Linked DNA regions of Saccharomyces cerevisiae S288C. The protein of the gene in region 2 interacts with the protein of the main gene of each other region in a biochemical or structural test. Each region holds a gene or a part of one and is shown on either strand. Other genes may lie near its edges.

Region 1 (5,739 bases), on a different chromosome or scaffold from region 2:
CAAAATTAAAATCGGCTGATGAGAATAACAAGCCACCGAACTACAAAAGAATTTCTGACGATGATTTATATAGGCACTCTTCTCAGTATAGAATGTGGTCATACACTAAAGATCAACTTCAGGAGAAAAGGGTAGATACCAATGCCCGAGCGATTGCTTACATTGAGGAAAATTTATTAAAATTTAGAGAAGCACACAATTTAACAGAAGAAGAAATAAAAGTACTAGAAGCAAAGGCTATCCCTTTGACAATGGAAGAAGAACTCGATTTGGTGAATTTCTACGCAAAAAAAGTTCAGGTAATAGCACAGCATCTAAATTTGCCAACCGAAGTAGTGGCCACTGCGATATCCTTTTTTAGGCGTTTTTTCTTAGAAAATTCTGTTATGCAAATAGATCCTAAAAGTATTGTACATACTACTATCTTTCTAGCCTGCAAATCGGAGAACTATTTTATTAGCGTGGACTCGTTTGCTCAAAAGGCCAAATCTACTAGAGATAGTGTTCTCAAATTCGAGTTTAAGTTGTTAGAATCATTGAAATTTTCACTGTTGAACCATCATCCTTACAAACCGCTTCATGGGTTTTTCTTAGATATCCAGAACGTCCTTTATGGTAAGGTTGATTTAAATTACATGGGCCAAATATACGATAGGTGTAAGAAGAGAATAACTGCCGCATTATTAACCGATGTCGTATATTTCTACACTCCACCCCAAATAACACTAGCAACATTATTGATTGAGGATGAAGCCTTGGTCACAAGGTATTTAGAAACAAAATTTCCCAGCAGAGAAGGTAGCCAGGAATCAGTACCGGGAAACGAAAAAGAAGAACCACAAAATGATGCCAGTACAACTGAGAAAAACAAAGAGAAGTCCACAGAGAGCGAAGAATATTCGATAGACTCCGCGAAGTTACTAACCATAATACGCGAGTGTAAAAGTATTATTGAAGATTGTAAACCTCCGAGTACTGAAGAGGCCAAGAAAATTGCGGCAAAAAACTATTATTGTCAAAATCCATCAACACTGATTCAGAAATTAAAAAGGAAGTTGAATGGAGAAGATACTTCGTCCACCGTTGAGAAAAAGCAAAAAACATGAAACAGCTCTGTTACCGTAGGTTTCTGTTTTATATATATATATAGATTAAGATGCATAGGTATATAGACCGGCGCCATTTTATATTATTTCATGCCATGAATATATACTGCAAAAAATGTGACAATGAGTAAATTGCTAACTAGCGCTACAATGTGATTATTTTTGCTACACACGTTTATCCATTGAATATTCTATTTACAATGTATGGCGTATTGATACACATGTACCTATATATATCAACAAGTGCTTTTATCTTAACTTTTATGAAAGATTAATGATTGGTTTAATCATCAACGATACTCCGTTCCATGGTGTGACTTTTTTAAGGCTTGTCACTGGGGGAAAGCGACGGTTGGTTAAGGGATGAAAGAAATTAATAACCCACTTGCGATCATCGGTTATCCTGAAGTATTTTGTCGCAAATACCCAAGCTTAATGCCTCTTTTCTTATCACAGAAATAATATTATAATTTCTCCTTACGAATAATCTGAAGTTTCAAGCTGACCAGGAGAAGATGTAGATTCTGAAAGTTTCCCGCGATCATGCTTCATTGCTGGTGTTATGAAGCAAAAGCGAAACCGACCAGAAAAGAACAAAGCATTCTCGGTCTTGAGGTAGGTTCCTTCATACGTTTAACTTCTTAGAATAAAATCATGCATTTAACATTGTAGGAATTTTGGGTTTATCATCGCCTATATCTTTACGTTCATCACTGTCTGGTCCTTCTACGACTGTATTGGTGGAAGTTTTCAGTTTGTCCAGTTTTTCACCTTTACAAACTTGTTCGATTTCGTGGGCATCTAGAGTTTCATATTCAATAAGACCTTGCGCAAGTCTATGTAGCTCAACATTTTTCTTAGTTAATAGTCTTCTTGCTCTTTCCTCGGAGTCCTTCAAAAGTTCAATCACTTCATTATCAGCAATATCGCGAATCTTATTAGACCAAGATTCCCAATTTTCTGACAAGTTAACGGGACCTACATCATCACTCATACCATATTGAGTAACCATAGCCCTTGCTGTGCCGGTGGCGCTTTGCAAGTCAGACCCACAACCACTTGTGGTGTTATCTTTACCATAAATTAATTCTTCTGCAATTTTGCCCCCCATGCACACGTCCAGTCTGGCTTGACACTCCCTTTTGGTGATGTCGACCTTATCCATTTCTGGCAATTGAAAAGTAATACCCAATGCCCTACCTCTAGGCAATATCGTGGCCTTGTATAGCGGGGTAGCACCATTGGTGTATTTGGCCATAATGGCATGTCCAGCCTCGTGGAAAGCAGTGGCCTTTCTGGCTGCATCTGTTAAGACCATAGTCTTTCTCTCAGCACCCATCAATATCTTATCCTTAGCCCACTCGAAGTGGGACATATCAACGGAAACAGCATTTTTTTGACACGCGTAAACTGCTGCTTGGTTGACTAAATTTGCCAGCTCAGCGCCTGATAAACCGGGGGTACCACGCGCAATAATAGTTGGATCCACATTGTCTGCCAATGTAATCTTCTTCATGTGATGCTTTAAAATATCAGCACGACCACGAACATCTGGCAAATCCACATTCACAACCTTATCAAATCTACCTGGTCTAGTTAACGCCTTATCTAAAGCCTCAGGGAAATTTGTGGCACCAATAATAATAATTCCACTTGTTTGTGAGAAACCATCTAATTCGACCAATAACTGATTCAACGTTTGTTTGGCGTAAGCTTGGTCCTTTGGATTACGCTTACCACCGATGGCATCTAATTCATCAATAAAAATAATAGCTGGTGCACGAGAACGCGCTTGAGCAAACAAATCACGGATACGTTTAGCACCAACACCGACGTAAACTTCATCAAATTCAGAACCTGACATAAAGAAAAAATCTACACCAGCCTCTCCGGCAGTGGCCCTAGCCAACAAAGTTTTACCTGTACCAGGAGGTCCAGTCAACAGTACACCCTTTGGTAGTTTACCACCCAAGGACTCGTACTTAGTTGGATCTTTCAGGAAATCAACAATTTCTTCCAATTCCGCACGGGCCTCATCACAACCGCAGACATCATCAAATTTAACATTTGTCTTAGCTACATCAACTGATTTGTCGGCTACTTCTGACGACTTTAGTAGCGTTGTATTTTCTGTGATGTATTTAAAACCTTCAGAAAAAGAGTAGGTTAAGATACCGAAAACAAGCAGCCACTTTACCCATCTCGATACAACAGTAAAAGTTGATTCAGATACGACAACATGTAGTGGCTCTTTGCGAGATCCATAAAGCGGAGAATACATCGATGGAAAGTTACCATGATAACCTGACTGGTTTGATGAAGATGACGCCAATGATGGGTTAACTGCGCCAGCAGAGCTGGCTGTCAGTAGGTTTTGTCTAACGGCATCAGCCTCCGAGTGTCTGCCTATCCTCTGCAGGGCCTCCATGTACAGTTCCATGCATTCAGGCGATGACGCAATACCGGGGGTCTCAAACCTAGAGACCACGTATTGCGGGTAGTTTGATTGTAAGAGAAGTTTGTAAAAGGCTGCTTGTGCATCAGGACTCGTTAAGTCTTTATTGGCCTCTTGTTCTCTAGTTGCTAGCATAGCATGTGACACAGCTACGTTCGCTTGTTTGGTTTTATCATTAGTGTTCGATGGAGGTGGTGGTTGCGAATTGTCGATTGAAGATATCGTGGATTTATTGGATGCCTTTCCAGAGCTATCAGCTTCCTTCTTAGGAGGCATTTCACCGCTATTCTTTTCAGAATAAAAACGGTAGAACTTCTTTGATCTTAAGGCCCATTTTTTTTGAACTAACAAAGAAGCACCGATTTGAGGTAGCCTGGGAGCAAATATGCGTAAAACATTTGTCGTGACCGTGGGCGACACAAGTATTTTTGAAACGTTCATCTATCACGTCTCTGTTTTCGTTCTATCCACAATGTATTATAATTAAAAATTGCTTCAATAAAATCCTGTTTATCCTTTAAGCTGTGCTTGCTTTTTACTTATCAAAAACGCAAGGTAGAGATTTAACTCACTTCACCAACTCCGATATATTGCCTTTTCACTACCGCTACAGCGTACAGGAGCTACCACTCCTCGAAGAAAGAGGTACCATGTGATTCGAGATTACTAACCAACCGATGCTGATAGAAAAAGGTGGCGAAGATTGGGGGCCGTTCCTCCGGCGATCGCCACATATCGCATTTCACGAAAGATGAAAATAAAGATGCATCCGAAATCCCGACCAGAAACGTAAAAGGGTATATTGCAAAACAGTCGTTAAAAGCATATAGCATTTTGCATTAGCATCTGTGAGGCCTCGTCACTGGATTTACCCTATTGAAGAACGTATAATGGTTGATTTGGAGCAGGAATTTGCGCTCGGTGGGCGGTGTCTGGCATTCCATGGTCCTCTTATGTATGAAGCAAAGATCTTGAAAATATGGGATCCATCTTCGAAAATGTATACCAGCATTCCTAATGACAAGCCAGGTGGTAGTTCACAAGCAACTAAGGAAATAAAGCCACAAAAGCTGGGAGAAGATGAAAGCATTCCAGAAGAGATCATTAATGGGAAGTGTTTTTTCATACATTACCAAGGCTGGAAGTCGAGTTGGGATGAGTGGGTTGGATATGATAGGATACGGGCCTACAATGAAGAGAATATTGCCATGAAAAAAAGACTGGCGAACGAGGCGAAAGAAGCTAAGAAATCGTTACTGGAACAGCAGAAAAAAAAGAAGCTCTCCACTAGTCTGGGAGGGCCTAGTAATGGTGGAAAAAGAAAGGGAGACAGCCGCTCGAATGCTAGTATAAGTAAGAGCACTTCACAGAGTTTTTTAACATCTTCAGTGAGCGGCAGGAAAAGCGGAAGAAGTTCCGCTAATTCCCTCCATCCTGGCAGCTCTTTGCGCTCGTCATCCGACCAAAATGGGAATGATGACCGCAGAAGATCTTCTTCGCTATCGCCAAATATGCTACATCATATTGCCGGCTATCCAACCCCCAAGATTTCCCTTCAAATTCCCATAAAATTGAAGAGCGTGTTAGTCGACGATTGGGAATACGTAACGAAGGACAAAAAAATTTGCAGACTACCCGCTGATGTGACGGTAGAGATGGTACTGAATAAATACGAACATGAAGTGAGTCAAGAATTGGAATCGCCAGGGTCCCAGTCACAGTTGAGCGAATACTGTGCCGGTCTCAAGTTGTATTTTGACAAGTGCCTGGGTAATATGCTTTTATATAGGTTGGAACGGCTGCAATATGACGAACTTCTGAAAAAATCATCGAAGGATCAAAAGCCACTAGTACCAATTAGAATTTATGGGGCTATCCATCTGTTAAGGTTGATAAGTGTTTTACCAGAGCTGATCTCGTCTACTACAATGGATCTACAAAGCTGTCAGCTTTTAATCAAACAAACCGAAGACTTCTTGGTTTGGTTGTTGATGCATGTGGACGAATACTTCAATGACAAGGATCCAAATAGAAGTGACGATGCTCTGTATGTAAATACGTCTAGCCAATACGAAGGAGTGGCTTTAGGTATGTGAGACGTTTATATTCTAGCTTGGGATTATTTCTAGTATTTAGTTCTTCCGTATTTATGCAATAACTCTTCACAGAATATCTCGT
Region 2 (6,218 bases):
GGATCGCCTGAAAGTGGAGATAGCGCTGAGGAGGCAGAGGATAATGCTGGAGAATCCATATGCAATGTGTATCTTGATGATTGATACTCTTGTGGTACAGAAGATGCATTTTGGGGTGACAAAATTGGGGGAGATATTATTGACCACTCTTTGAGATTTTGGACTTCTGTAGGTCCTCTTGATTGTGTAGTTTGTGTAGGTCTTGATATTTGTTTGCGTTCAAACCATTGAGTGCCTATTCCAAAATCGTTTTTTTCGGTTTTGGTTGGTATGATCTTGTCATTAGGGCGTTCCTTGGACTGCATTACTGTCGCTTCTATACAATTCTTATTTTGTAAAGCTGGTTCGGAAACACTTTCGTCGGATGAGATGAACCTTGTTTGGCCATCCGAAGTCTTTATCATTTTCATTTTAGACGTCTTTTTCTTCTCTCGTATTCCCTCTGAATAGCCTTCTGGTAAACCTTTGCAACTCCCAGCCTCAATGTGGTTTTCCACCCAGCTCTCACTAGTGCTAAAGTGTTCCCCACATTGAGTGCACACTCCAGGTGATTTATTACGGTCCTGAGGCTTAACACCTTCTGGGTAAGTGAAATGTCTAGATTTCAAATGTGTTTTGTAGGTATCTCTTCTGCTAAACCCCCCAGAAGTATGGCATCGCAATTCTTGCGAAATGCTATTATCAAAAAATGGACAGTGATAGGCCTTCCTTTTCGCATGCTTTTTTATGTGTCGTGTTAAGTAACCTCTGATTCGGAACCTAGCATCGCAATAGTGACATATATATGGTAAAGTTTCGGATGACTCATCAGCAATTCCTTGAACCTCATCGGATAGGGGAGATTCATCAATACTTTTCTTCGATGCAGGAGTGATTACGCTACTTACGGGCGTGATTGGAAGGAAATTAGAGGGGAAAAGAGCTTTGTACTGGTCATTATTGATATAGGATTCCTCTAGCGGGGGAGAACTTATCAAGTCATTCTGTAACTTTGCTGGCTCGCCGCGGCTAGGGCCCCGTAAAATCGGTTCGTCCAAGTTCAACTGTGTAGTGACTGCACCATTATTATCAATTTTAATTGAGAAAGGTGTTTCTAGGTTATCCAAATTTAAAGCACAGGGTACAACTGAAGATTTTGATGTTAGACTCAATTGTTTGTTGTTCTGTTTGGGAAATAATTCGCTCACGTCAACCAGATCGTCCTTTTCGGTAGCACAGCAGTCTTTCTGTGGATGGTTCTGTTTCGCAGGTTCTAACTTTTCGAAAGGAGTACTTTTCGAAGATTTGTCGTCTTCCACATTGGGCACAATCACTTGCTGCACTAATGCTTTAAGGTAGTCATATATCCTTGTTAACACGCTGTTCCGTGTTGAAGATAGTGATAAGATAGGCATGATAATGGATTTCCTTACTTCCCCAACTTTTTGCTCTCTTGCATTTGTCTGTTTGTCGGATGATTAATCACTGTTTTTCATTTATTAATCATCGTTTTTCTCGCTTTTTGCCCGTATTGGAATGTGAAGAGAAAAAAAAAATGATAAGAATTCTAAAAAAAGATACTCTTCGTTCGAATGGATGACTCTAAGAAGGGTAACAGACTTTCAATCTTCAAATAACATTATAATCTCTATTCTAGCCCTTAGAGGAGCATGTCATGCGTTCAGAACCTCCATTAATAGCTTACTTTATAACTTTCTATCAGTCACAAGTTAAACGTCGACAATTTTTGTGGGAAATGGTCTGTTTTTTTTCTTCAGTTAATAAATCTCGTTCTTGACTGCAGGTAATTAATGGTATCGTGATCGTTACCTATGCTTACACACTATAAGAATTTTCTTCGTGAGAATTGGCCCATTTCTCTGGTTCTTCTGAAGAGAGTTTTGCTGACCATCAATCAGCTTTACGAAAATTTACCGCCCAATTTCTTGCCAAAATGCCATCCATATTCCCATTCATTGGAATTCTTTCACTATTTTATCATTTCAATGTTCTTTGTAGCAACAGGCTCTTCTTTTTCACGCTTACTGTGATCATTTGTTATAAGTGCTGGTATTTTCTCTCTTCTGGAATTCCGTGCTATTGATATCACGACATGTGCGCTTCTCATGATTTTGCCGCCCAAGGCACATTTTGCCGTCTGTTTTTAACCTAATATTTATGTCGCGGGTATATTATCATATATTGCGTAAGAGGATGGTATTGCTGATGGGAAGTGGTCAACAAATTCAATAGGCACTGAAATGTAAGGGCTGACAATGTAATTGGATAAAGAAAGGCAACACATGAAAGGAAGAAAAAAAAAACGTTATTTATTATTATGTAAAACTATTGACCTCACCTTTGTGATTCACGCTGTCCTCGTGAAAAAACTTTTTTTGTTTTTGTAGACCTAATAAAAGAACCTTTTTTAACAATGTCCTAACAATAATTTCAACAGTTGCCAAACCTCAAATAGTGTTGGAATAAAAATCCACTATCGTCTATCAACTAATAGTTATATTATCAATATATTATCATATACGGTGTTAAGATGATGACATAAGTTATGAGAAGCTGTCATCGATGTTAGAGGAAGCTGAAGTGCAAGGATTGATAATGTAATAGGATAATGAAACATATAAAACGGAATGAGGAATAATCGTGATATTAGTAAATAGAAATATAGATTCCATTTTGAGGATTCCTATATCCTCGAGGAGAACTTCTAGTATATTCTGTATACCTAATATTATAGCCTTTATCAAAAATGGAATCCCAACAATTATCTCAACATTCACCCATTTCTCAAATAGTATGTTTTGGTGTTAAAGAAGAACATTGGAAACAAAGGAAAGGTAAGCATTAGCCCGGAAACAAAACAAGAGGAAGTAATATACACCTTTTTGGTTAACTTGTTCGTTCAGAAGAGCCCAAGTATGTAATTATTTTTTGCAAATCTTTCCTCAGTAACGATAACGACACGAAGGTAATATTTTAAAACATTTATCAACAAGTCACTAAATATAATCTGGGTCCTATCACTATTAGAGCTTCTATGGCCAAGTTGGTAAGGCGCCACACTAGTAATGTGGAGATCATCGGTTCAAATCCGATTGGAAGCATTTTTTGCATTGATTTCCCAATTCGTAGCTGATGATCACCCTCTGAAGCTATCGGACATTTTTTTTCTTTAATTTTTTCAGCGAGAGAGCTGGCAGTGAACGTACAAGAGCAAGCTCTCTAAAGAACTATTACTCTCCTCGTTCCCCTCTCATGTCTTTTAACAGATAAACAAGCAAAAGAAGGAACTATCATACTTAGAAAAACATGTCTTTCTTAGGTTTCGGTGGTGGTCAGCCTCAATTATCATCTCAACAAAAGATTCAAGCTGCGGAAGCTGAACTAGATTTGGTCACAGACATGTTCAATAAATTGGTTAATAACTGTTATAAAAAATGTATCAATACTTCTTATTCCGAGGGTGAGCTGAATAAGAATGAATCTTCGTGCCTAGACAGATGTGTGGCCAAATATTTTGAGACCAATGTTCAAGTCGGTGAAAACATGCAGAAAATGGGCCAATCATTTAACGCAGCCGGTAAGTTTTAGAAATGTGCATTAAAGCAGTAATGATAAGACGAAAATAAGAAAAGAAATCCATAAGCTGTTTTACTCGACTCAACGTTATAATTAGTATTATTGATTCATATCCTGTATATACAAGTAACATTATACTCTTTTCTGTACTTCATCTTTACCTTTTTATCTTACATGGCACATGTTGTTTGAAAACAAGATCATAGGTGGATAAAGCAAGCCGAATCTAAAAAAAAAAAAATGTCTCTATTGGAAAACTGAATGCATAACGATATTCCCTTTTCATGCAGATAACACTGACTAGTTTCAATTTGAAACGCATCTTCGTGTTATTTCACCGAAACGCACTCGGCTCAGCATGTTAAAAAGCACATCAATTTAGGGCTCTGCGCGTCCTTCTGCGTATTCTTCCTTGTAGAAATGCAATTAAATGGAGAGCAGAAATTTTTTTGTTACATATTGTTTTCCTTAAAGGGAAATATTAAAAAATAGTCTAAAATGAAGAGGATAGTAGAATTCCACCAATTTCTTTACGTTTTATATTATTCGTAATCTTTTGATCTGTTATTCATTTTTTCTTGTCACTCCGTTTCTAACATTTTTGACCATTTCTAAGACCAAACTGAGTAGAAGCTATTCATACTGTAAATTGGTATTTTAGCATCACATCAATAATCCAGAGGTGTATAAATTGATATATTAAGGTAGGAAATAATGGGGTGTACAGTGAGTACGCAAACAATAGGAGACGAAAGTGATCCTTTTCTACAGAACAAAAGAGCCAATGATGTCATCGAGCAATCGTTGCAGCTGGAGAAACAACGTGACAAGAATGAAATAAAACTGTTACTATTAGGTGCCGGTGAGTCAGGTAAATCAACGGTTTTAAAACAATTAAAATTATTACATCAAGGCGGTTTCTCCCATCAAGAAAGGTTACAGTATGCTCAAGTGATATGGGCAGATGCCATACAATCAATGAAAATTTTGATTATTCAGGCCAGAAAACTAGGTATTCAACTTGACTGTGATGATCCGATCAACAATAAAGATTTGTTTGCATGCAAGAGAATACTGCTAAAGGCTAAAGCTTTAGATTATATCAACGCCAGTGTTGCCGGTGGTTCTGATTTTCTAAATGATTATGTACTGAAGTACTCAGAAAGGTATGAAACTAGGAGGCGTGTTCAGAGTACCGGACGAGCAAAAGCTGCTTTCGATGAAGACGGAAATATTTCTAATGTCAAAAGTGACACTGACAGAGATGCTGAAACGGTGACGCAAAATGAGGATGCTGATAGAAACAACAGTAGTAGAATTAACCTACAGGATATTTGCAAGGACTTGAACCAAGAAGGCGATGACCAGATGTTTGTTAGAAAAACATCAAGGGAAATTCAAGGACAAAATAGACGAAATCTTATTCACGAAGACATTGCTAAGGCAATAAAGCAACTTTGGAATAACGACAAAGGTATAAAGCAGTGTTTTGCACGTTCTAATGAGTTTCAATTGGAGGGCTCAGCTGCATACTACTTTGATAACATTGAGAAATTTGCTAGTCCGAATTATGTCTGTACGGATGAAGACATTTTGAAGGGCCGTATAAAGACTACAGGCATTACAGAAACCGAATTTAACATCGGCTCGTCCAAATTCAAGGTTCTCGACGCTGGTGGGCAGCGTTCTGAACGTAAGAAGTGGATTCATTGTTTCGAAGGAATTACAGCAGTTTTATTTGTTTTAGCAATGAGTGAATACGACCAGATGTTGTTTGAGGATGAAAGAGTGAACAGAATGCATGAATCAATAATGCTATTTGACACGTTATTGAACTCTAAGTGGTTCAAAGATACACCGTTTATTTTGTTTTTAAATAAAATTGATTTGTTCGAGGAAAAGGTAAAAAGCATGCCCATAAGAAAGTACTTTCCTGATTACCAGGGACGTGTCGGCGATGCAGAAGCGGGTCTAAAATATTTTGAGAAGATATTTTTGAGCTTGAATAAGACAAACAAACCAATCTACGTGAAACGAACCTGCGCTACCGATACCCAAACTATGAAGTTCGTATTGAGTGCAGTCACCGATCTAATCATCCAGCAAAACCTTAAAAAAATTGGTATTATATGAAGGAACTGTATAATTAAAGTAGTGTTTAGATACGTAAATTCTGTTTCCGAAGATGCAAGAAGGAGCAGCAGCACCAGAAAAAATTACTATTTTTCTTCTCCATTAGAGTCTATGATGGAATGCCAAATGAAAAAGCCATTTTGTTCAACAGTTCTTGATCTCGTTAAATCGTTCCGGGTTTTCAATTGAAAAACAAGGGTAATAAAATCGCATGAGAAAAAAAAGGTCCAGACACTTTTTTAGAAGAAAAACTCTTGAAAACAATTGATTCTTCTACGTAAGGACAGGGTATTATCTCGAATTCTTCTCCCTGGTAAATACTCGGGATATATAGAACCTATTTTGCATCCTATTCTCACTTTTCTTTATTGTTGTTAATTTCTGGACATTGTTTCATTAATTGAATGAATGCCCTAAAATATTTCTCAAATCATTTAATAACTACAAAGAAACAAAAAAAAATCAATGTTGAGGTGACAAAGAATCAAGATCTACTAGGCCCTTCAAAG
Region 3 (4,581 bases), on a different chromosome or scaffold from region 2:
CATGCCATCGAGGTTACATAGAATTAGTTTAAACAAAAACCAACTATCCTCTAATATCCATGGTACGAGTATATATAATTGTATGAAGTGTAAGAATATGATATAAATAATGAGAGCACTCATAGAGAGTAACGGCGCTGAATTGTAAGAACTGTCACGTAGTAACACAATCACTGAAAGCATATAAAGTGAAATGAGAAACGGTAGTAATATCATATGCATTACCAATTCCTTTTAGTGAATTTCCATGTGCCCGAGGGGGGACTTCCAGTATATTCTGTTACATTTAAGTAAATACTTCATCAACAAATAGGGCCCAGCGGTTTCTTACACTAATTATACATTTACAACGTAAATGCTCCAGCTCAAGCATTATTTATATATCTTGTTTTCAAAAGAAAAATATAGCAATTAGACTCCATGGCCAAGTTGGTTAAGGCGTGCGACTGTTAATCGCAAGATCGTGAGTTCAACCCTCACTGGGGTCGCTTATTTTTAACTTTTTTACACTGAAGAAACAAATCAATTCTAATACAATGCCAATGGCTTCAAATCAACCTTTGGTTATAATAGTTAGGAGAATCGATGCTTACATAGTATATTATTTAAACAATTAATTTGATTTAAAAGATTTTTGTTTCCCTTGCTGCTGTCATTGGCTTTCTAAATTACATAAAGCAGATGAAAAGCCACACTATGCTGAAAATAGTGTGTGGATGCATCTACATGATGATGCAACACGAATTGGATTTTTTAGCTTGCTTATAAAACATTTTGGAACTTGCCGTTAATGACTCCGATTTGTCCACCAAATTATCCAACTTTTCACCTCTTTGTAAAACATTCTCAATCGTTTTGTGCAAAACGATTTTCGTCTCATCCAGTTCTTGTTGAACTTTCATGATAGCGTCAGCCTGTGAAGGATCTTGATATTTGCTAATGTAAGTGTCCAGTTGCTTCATTTTCAATGCATCATTGGTCTCAGTCACATCTGCCCACTCTTCCTTAGGATGTGCGACTAAATATTCATCCAATATTTTGTTTAATAGTGTGTATGCTGGTCTGACAGGATATTCTTTGTCGGTGATCAAAACACCACATATGCCCTCACTCCTGGCATAAACGTGGCCAATATAGTTGCCTTCTTCTATACTTTGTCTTTGTCCTGCACCAGTTCTAGAAGCGACCGTTTCAGCAAAAAAAGTCATAAACTGGCCAACACTAGACCTTTCAAAGAAACCAAATTGTGACAAGTCTTTAACTTCACTCAACTCTAGAGCCTTTTCTCCTCCAGAGCGAAATACACCGATGTAGTAGATTCTCATTGCCAAAATAACTTCTCTAGTGATACGTAAAGCTTCAGAAATGCCCTAGCCTGGTCTAACGCAGTCAAACTGTGCCAGAGACTTTTGTATATTGTTCATGTTGATATCTATTGTGCTTGCTCTTGATTTCACACCAAGCCAATCGTTCTGTACGGCACGCCACCCAATAAGAAAAAAAGGGAAAAGGAGCCGAATTTTGGTTTAAAAACATATAATGCTGAAATTGTGGAACACCAATTACCAACTGGAAGTAGGCTCGATCCAAAGAGTGTATATTATCAGTAAAATGCTTCGCAACTTAGTCGTCAGGAATGCGTGCAGAAACAGGCCGTCAATTCAAGTGGCAAGGGGGTTATGCCGACACCAAACAAGACGTCTCATGGCGTCCTCCCCTCAGTTCGGTAGGAACTCCAATCAGGAAAAAACAGCGGGCTTTATAATGGGGATTCTTTCTATGGCTGGTGCTTTATATTTTATTGCTCCTAATAGGAAGCCTCTTTTCGCCTCAAGGAAGGTAGAATCCGATAAAACCGCAGAGGAAGAGCTTTCCAGTGGTGGTGAGCAATCACCAGAAAATGAAGATGACAACAACAGCAAAAGCGATGAAAATGGAGATGACAACGACAGCAAAAACGATGAAACTGAAGCTGGCCCTCAATTAGGGGGTGATAAAATTGGTGCTTCAAAAGTAGCTGAAGATGGTGAATTGGTTGTTCTAGCAGAAGAAGACAACAAGTCTTCCGAAGATAAAGATACTGATGAATCAAAGGTATCAACCAAAGATGATGAGCAATCCAATGAAGACAATGCCACCGCTAACAATCAAAAGGATGAAAACATAAGTTCTGAGAACTCGGAAGAAAATACTAGTGACAAAACACTAGACAACAATGCTGGATCTTCTGAAAAAAAAGATCCAGAACATTCAGATGATGAAAAATCGCAACAGGGACAATCTGATGACAAGACAACTACTGAAGATAATAATGGAGAAGAAGAATCCTCAAAAAAAACTGTAAGTGACTCGGAAAATTCAGCTAAGCAATCTGAATCTAGCGATGAAGAGAAAGAAGAACTAAGAAAACAAGAGGAAAAGCAAATGGGTCCTACTGAAGAAGAGGTTCAACACGAAGGTGCTTATAACCCAGACACTGGTGAGATAAATTGGGACTGTCCTTGCTTGGGAGGTATGGCCCATGGACCCTGTGGTGAAGAGTTCAAATCTGCATTTTCTTGCTTCGTCTATTCTGAAGCTGAACCAAAAGGTATCGACTGTGTTGAAAAGTTTCAACATATGCAAGACTGTTTCAGAAAATACCCCGAGCATTATGCAGAACAACTAAAGGAAACATCTGATGATGAGGAACCTCAAGACAAAGTAAAGGTCAACACAATAGAATCAGCGCCAAATGTTTCAAGCGCAAAGGAAAATGCTGCGAAAAAAGCAGAGCAATCAGATGTGAAAAAAGAACCATTGAATGAGGAATCCAAACCTTAAAATCTCCTGAAAATCTCCCGAACGTAAAAAGTATAAAAGTATAAAGGATGATACATGTAAATACAGTAATATTATCTTAGTTTAATGACTACATATGGTATAATATGTGAAATATACATGAATTAATGCATCTGTGGGGCGGATGAGTCTAGTCTCTGTATGAATCCAGCTATACATCAAATCGTATCCTTTTATTTACAGGGCAAGTTTGTCATATATTTTAAGTTACTTGTAGTTTTTTTCCAGCTCAATAAATTTTTCCCAAATTTGAGACATTGTAAGTTTCTCGAAACTCTTTCTATTATCACGTTCTCGAATGTTGTATTTCTGTAACTGTACTTCCTCATCACCCACGATAATTAAATAGGAATAGTTTTTCAAAATGGCCGACTTGATCCTATACCCTACGGGTTCGTTTCTTATGTCGAGATCAACATTGAAATGCCAATCATTTAAAGGAACTGGTTCCATGTCGTCGGCTTCCAGTTCATTACGTAGTTTTTTCTGCAAGGCAGTGCACATGTCTAGCTGTTGCACATTTTTCGTATTGACGGGAATAATTACAGCTTGGTAAGGATTCAACCAAAACGGCCAACGGCCCTCATTAGAATCTATCAGTAAAGCCATAAATCTTTCGATAGAACCAAAAGTAGCTCTATGAATCATAATTGGCCTCTTGTACGAGTTGTCTTGATCCTTGAATTTCAAATCGAACCTCTCAGGTAGCTGAAAGTCCAACTGAATAGTAGCGACTTGATGAGTTTTGCGTAAATGGTCCGTAACCATTATATCCAACTTTGGACCATAGAACGCACCATCACCAGGGTTCAGTTTCCACGGTTTGCCTGATTCTTCCAAGATTTCCTTGAGTACTTGCTCAGCATGATTCCAAACTTTGAGGTCTCCAATGAAGTGATCCGGTCTTGTAGAAAAGTTTATAAAATAATTGCTCTCTGCTCCAGAACCTCCTTTAACAAAGGGGAAAATTTTGTTGTAAACTATGTCGATTAATTTTAAAGAGTTGAAAATTTCTGATTTCACTTGGGAAGGAGTGCAAAAGATATGACCATCGTCTTGATGGAACTTCCTTAGTCTAGTCAATCCCGACAGTGCACCAGAAGCTTCATTTCTATGTAGTGGTGAAAAATCAGAGAAGCGTAGGGGAAGTTCGTTATACGATCTATCCTTTTTACCGAAGATCAGACAATGGCCTGGGCAATTCATCGGTTTTAAACCGTATTCCTCCTTTTCTTCATCCGTAGTTTCCACCTTAAACATGTCATCAGCATAATTTTCCCAGTGACCAGACTTTTCCCAAAGAGTCTTTTTGTAAATCAAAGGCGTCACAACTTCATTAAAACCAAATTTGAACTTTTGTTGTAACTTCATAAACTCTATCAATTTGTTGAAAATCTTAGCACCATTTGGAAGAAAGAACATGGATCCAGGAGATAGTGGATCTGTCATGAAAAGATCTTGCCTCTGAGATACCATGGATGTCATAGTAGCTGGAGTCGCCGACGAAGCGTTCTTAGTGGCCTTTCTCGTAGAGTAGAAAGCACGATTCCAAAGAGCATTGCGAGAACAATGCCATCTTACAAGTTGTATTTTCATATTGCGAGACAGAAGGACGTGCCCTTAGCTATTGCATATGTTTTTCTTTATGTAGTTCAGCAGCTCTTCTTTTTTTCATGCTCGAGGTTTTTAAGGGCGAACTTTAACTAGATGGATTATTCAGTTTTTTTTAAAAGGATCAAA

What was found.
Region 1: of the proteins of TIM10 (region 2) and YME1, one has a biochemical effect on the other in vitro, tested with the Saccharomyces cerevisiae proteins (2 studies listed by BioGRID, with this or other methods).
Region 3: the proteins of TIM10 (region 2) and MIA40 form a complex in vitro, tested with the Saccharomyces cerevisiae proteins (4 studies listed by BioGRID, with this or other methods).

Annotation. Positions count from the first base shown.
Region 1 is NC_001148.4:608,744-614,482, reverse strand, and holds YME1 (i-AAA protease YME1), read right to left. Parts: upstream 4,003-5,739; coding exon 1,759-4,002; downstream 1-1,758. Other genes in the region: TFIIH complex kinase subunit CCL1, read left to right, coding at 1-1,106; EAF3 (Eaf3p), read left to right, coding at 4,452-5,657. UniProt on the Saccharomyces cerevisiae protein: Catalytic subunit of the mitochondrial inner membrane i-AAA protease supercomplex required for mitochondrial inner membrane protein turnover. The protease is probably ATP-dependent. Important to maintain the integrity of the mitochondrial compartment.
Region 2 is NC_001140.6:112,990-119,207, reverse strand, and holds TIM10 (protein transporter TIM10), read left to right. Parts: upstream 1-3,306; coding exon 3,307-3,588; downstream 3,589-6,218. Other genes in the region: STP2 (Stp2p), read right to left, coding at 1-1,394; GPA1 (guanine nucleotide-binding protein subunit alpha), read left to right, coding at 4,291-5,709; Nem1-Spo7 phosphatase catalytic subunit NEM1, read left to right, coding at 6,114-6,218. UniProt on the Saccharomyces cerevisiae protein: Mitochondrial intermembrane chaperone that participates in the import and insertion of multi-pass transmembrane proteins into the mitochondrial inner membrane.
Region 3 is NC_001143.9:74,210-78,790, forward strand, and holds MIA40 (Mia40p), read left to right. Parts: upstream 1-1,611; coding exon 1,612-2,823; downstream 2,824-4,581. Other genes in the region: palmitoyltransferase YKT6, read right to left, coding at 723-1,325; threonine--tRNA ligase MST1, read right to left, coding at 3,049-4,437. UniProt on the Saccharomyces cerevisiae protein: Required for the import and folding of small cysteine-containing proteins (small Tim) in the mitochondrial intermembrane space (IMS). Forms a redox cycle with ERV1 that involves a disulfide relay system.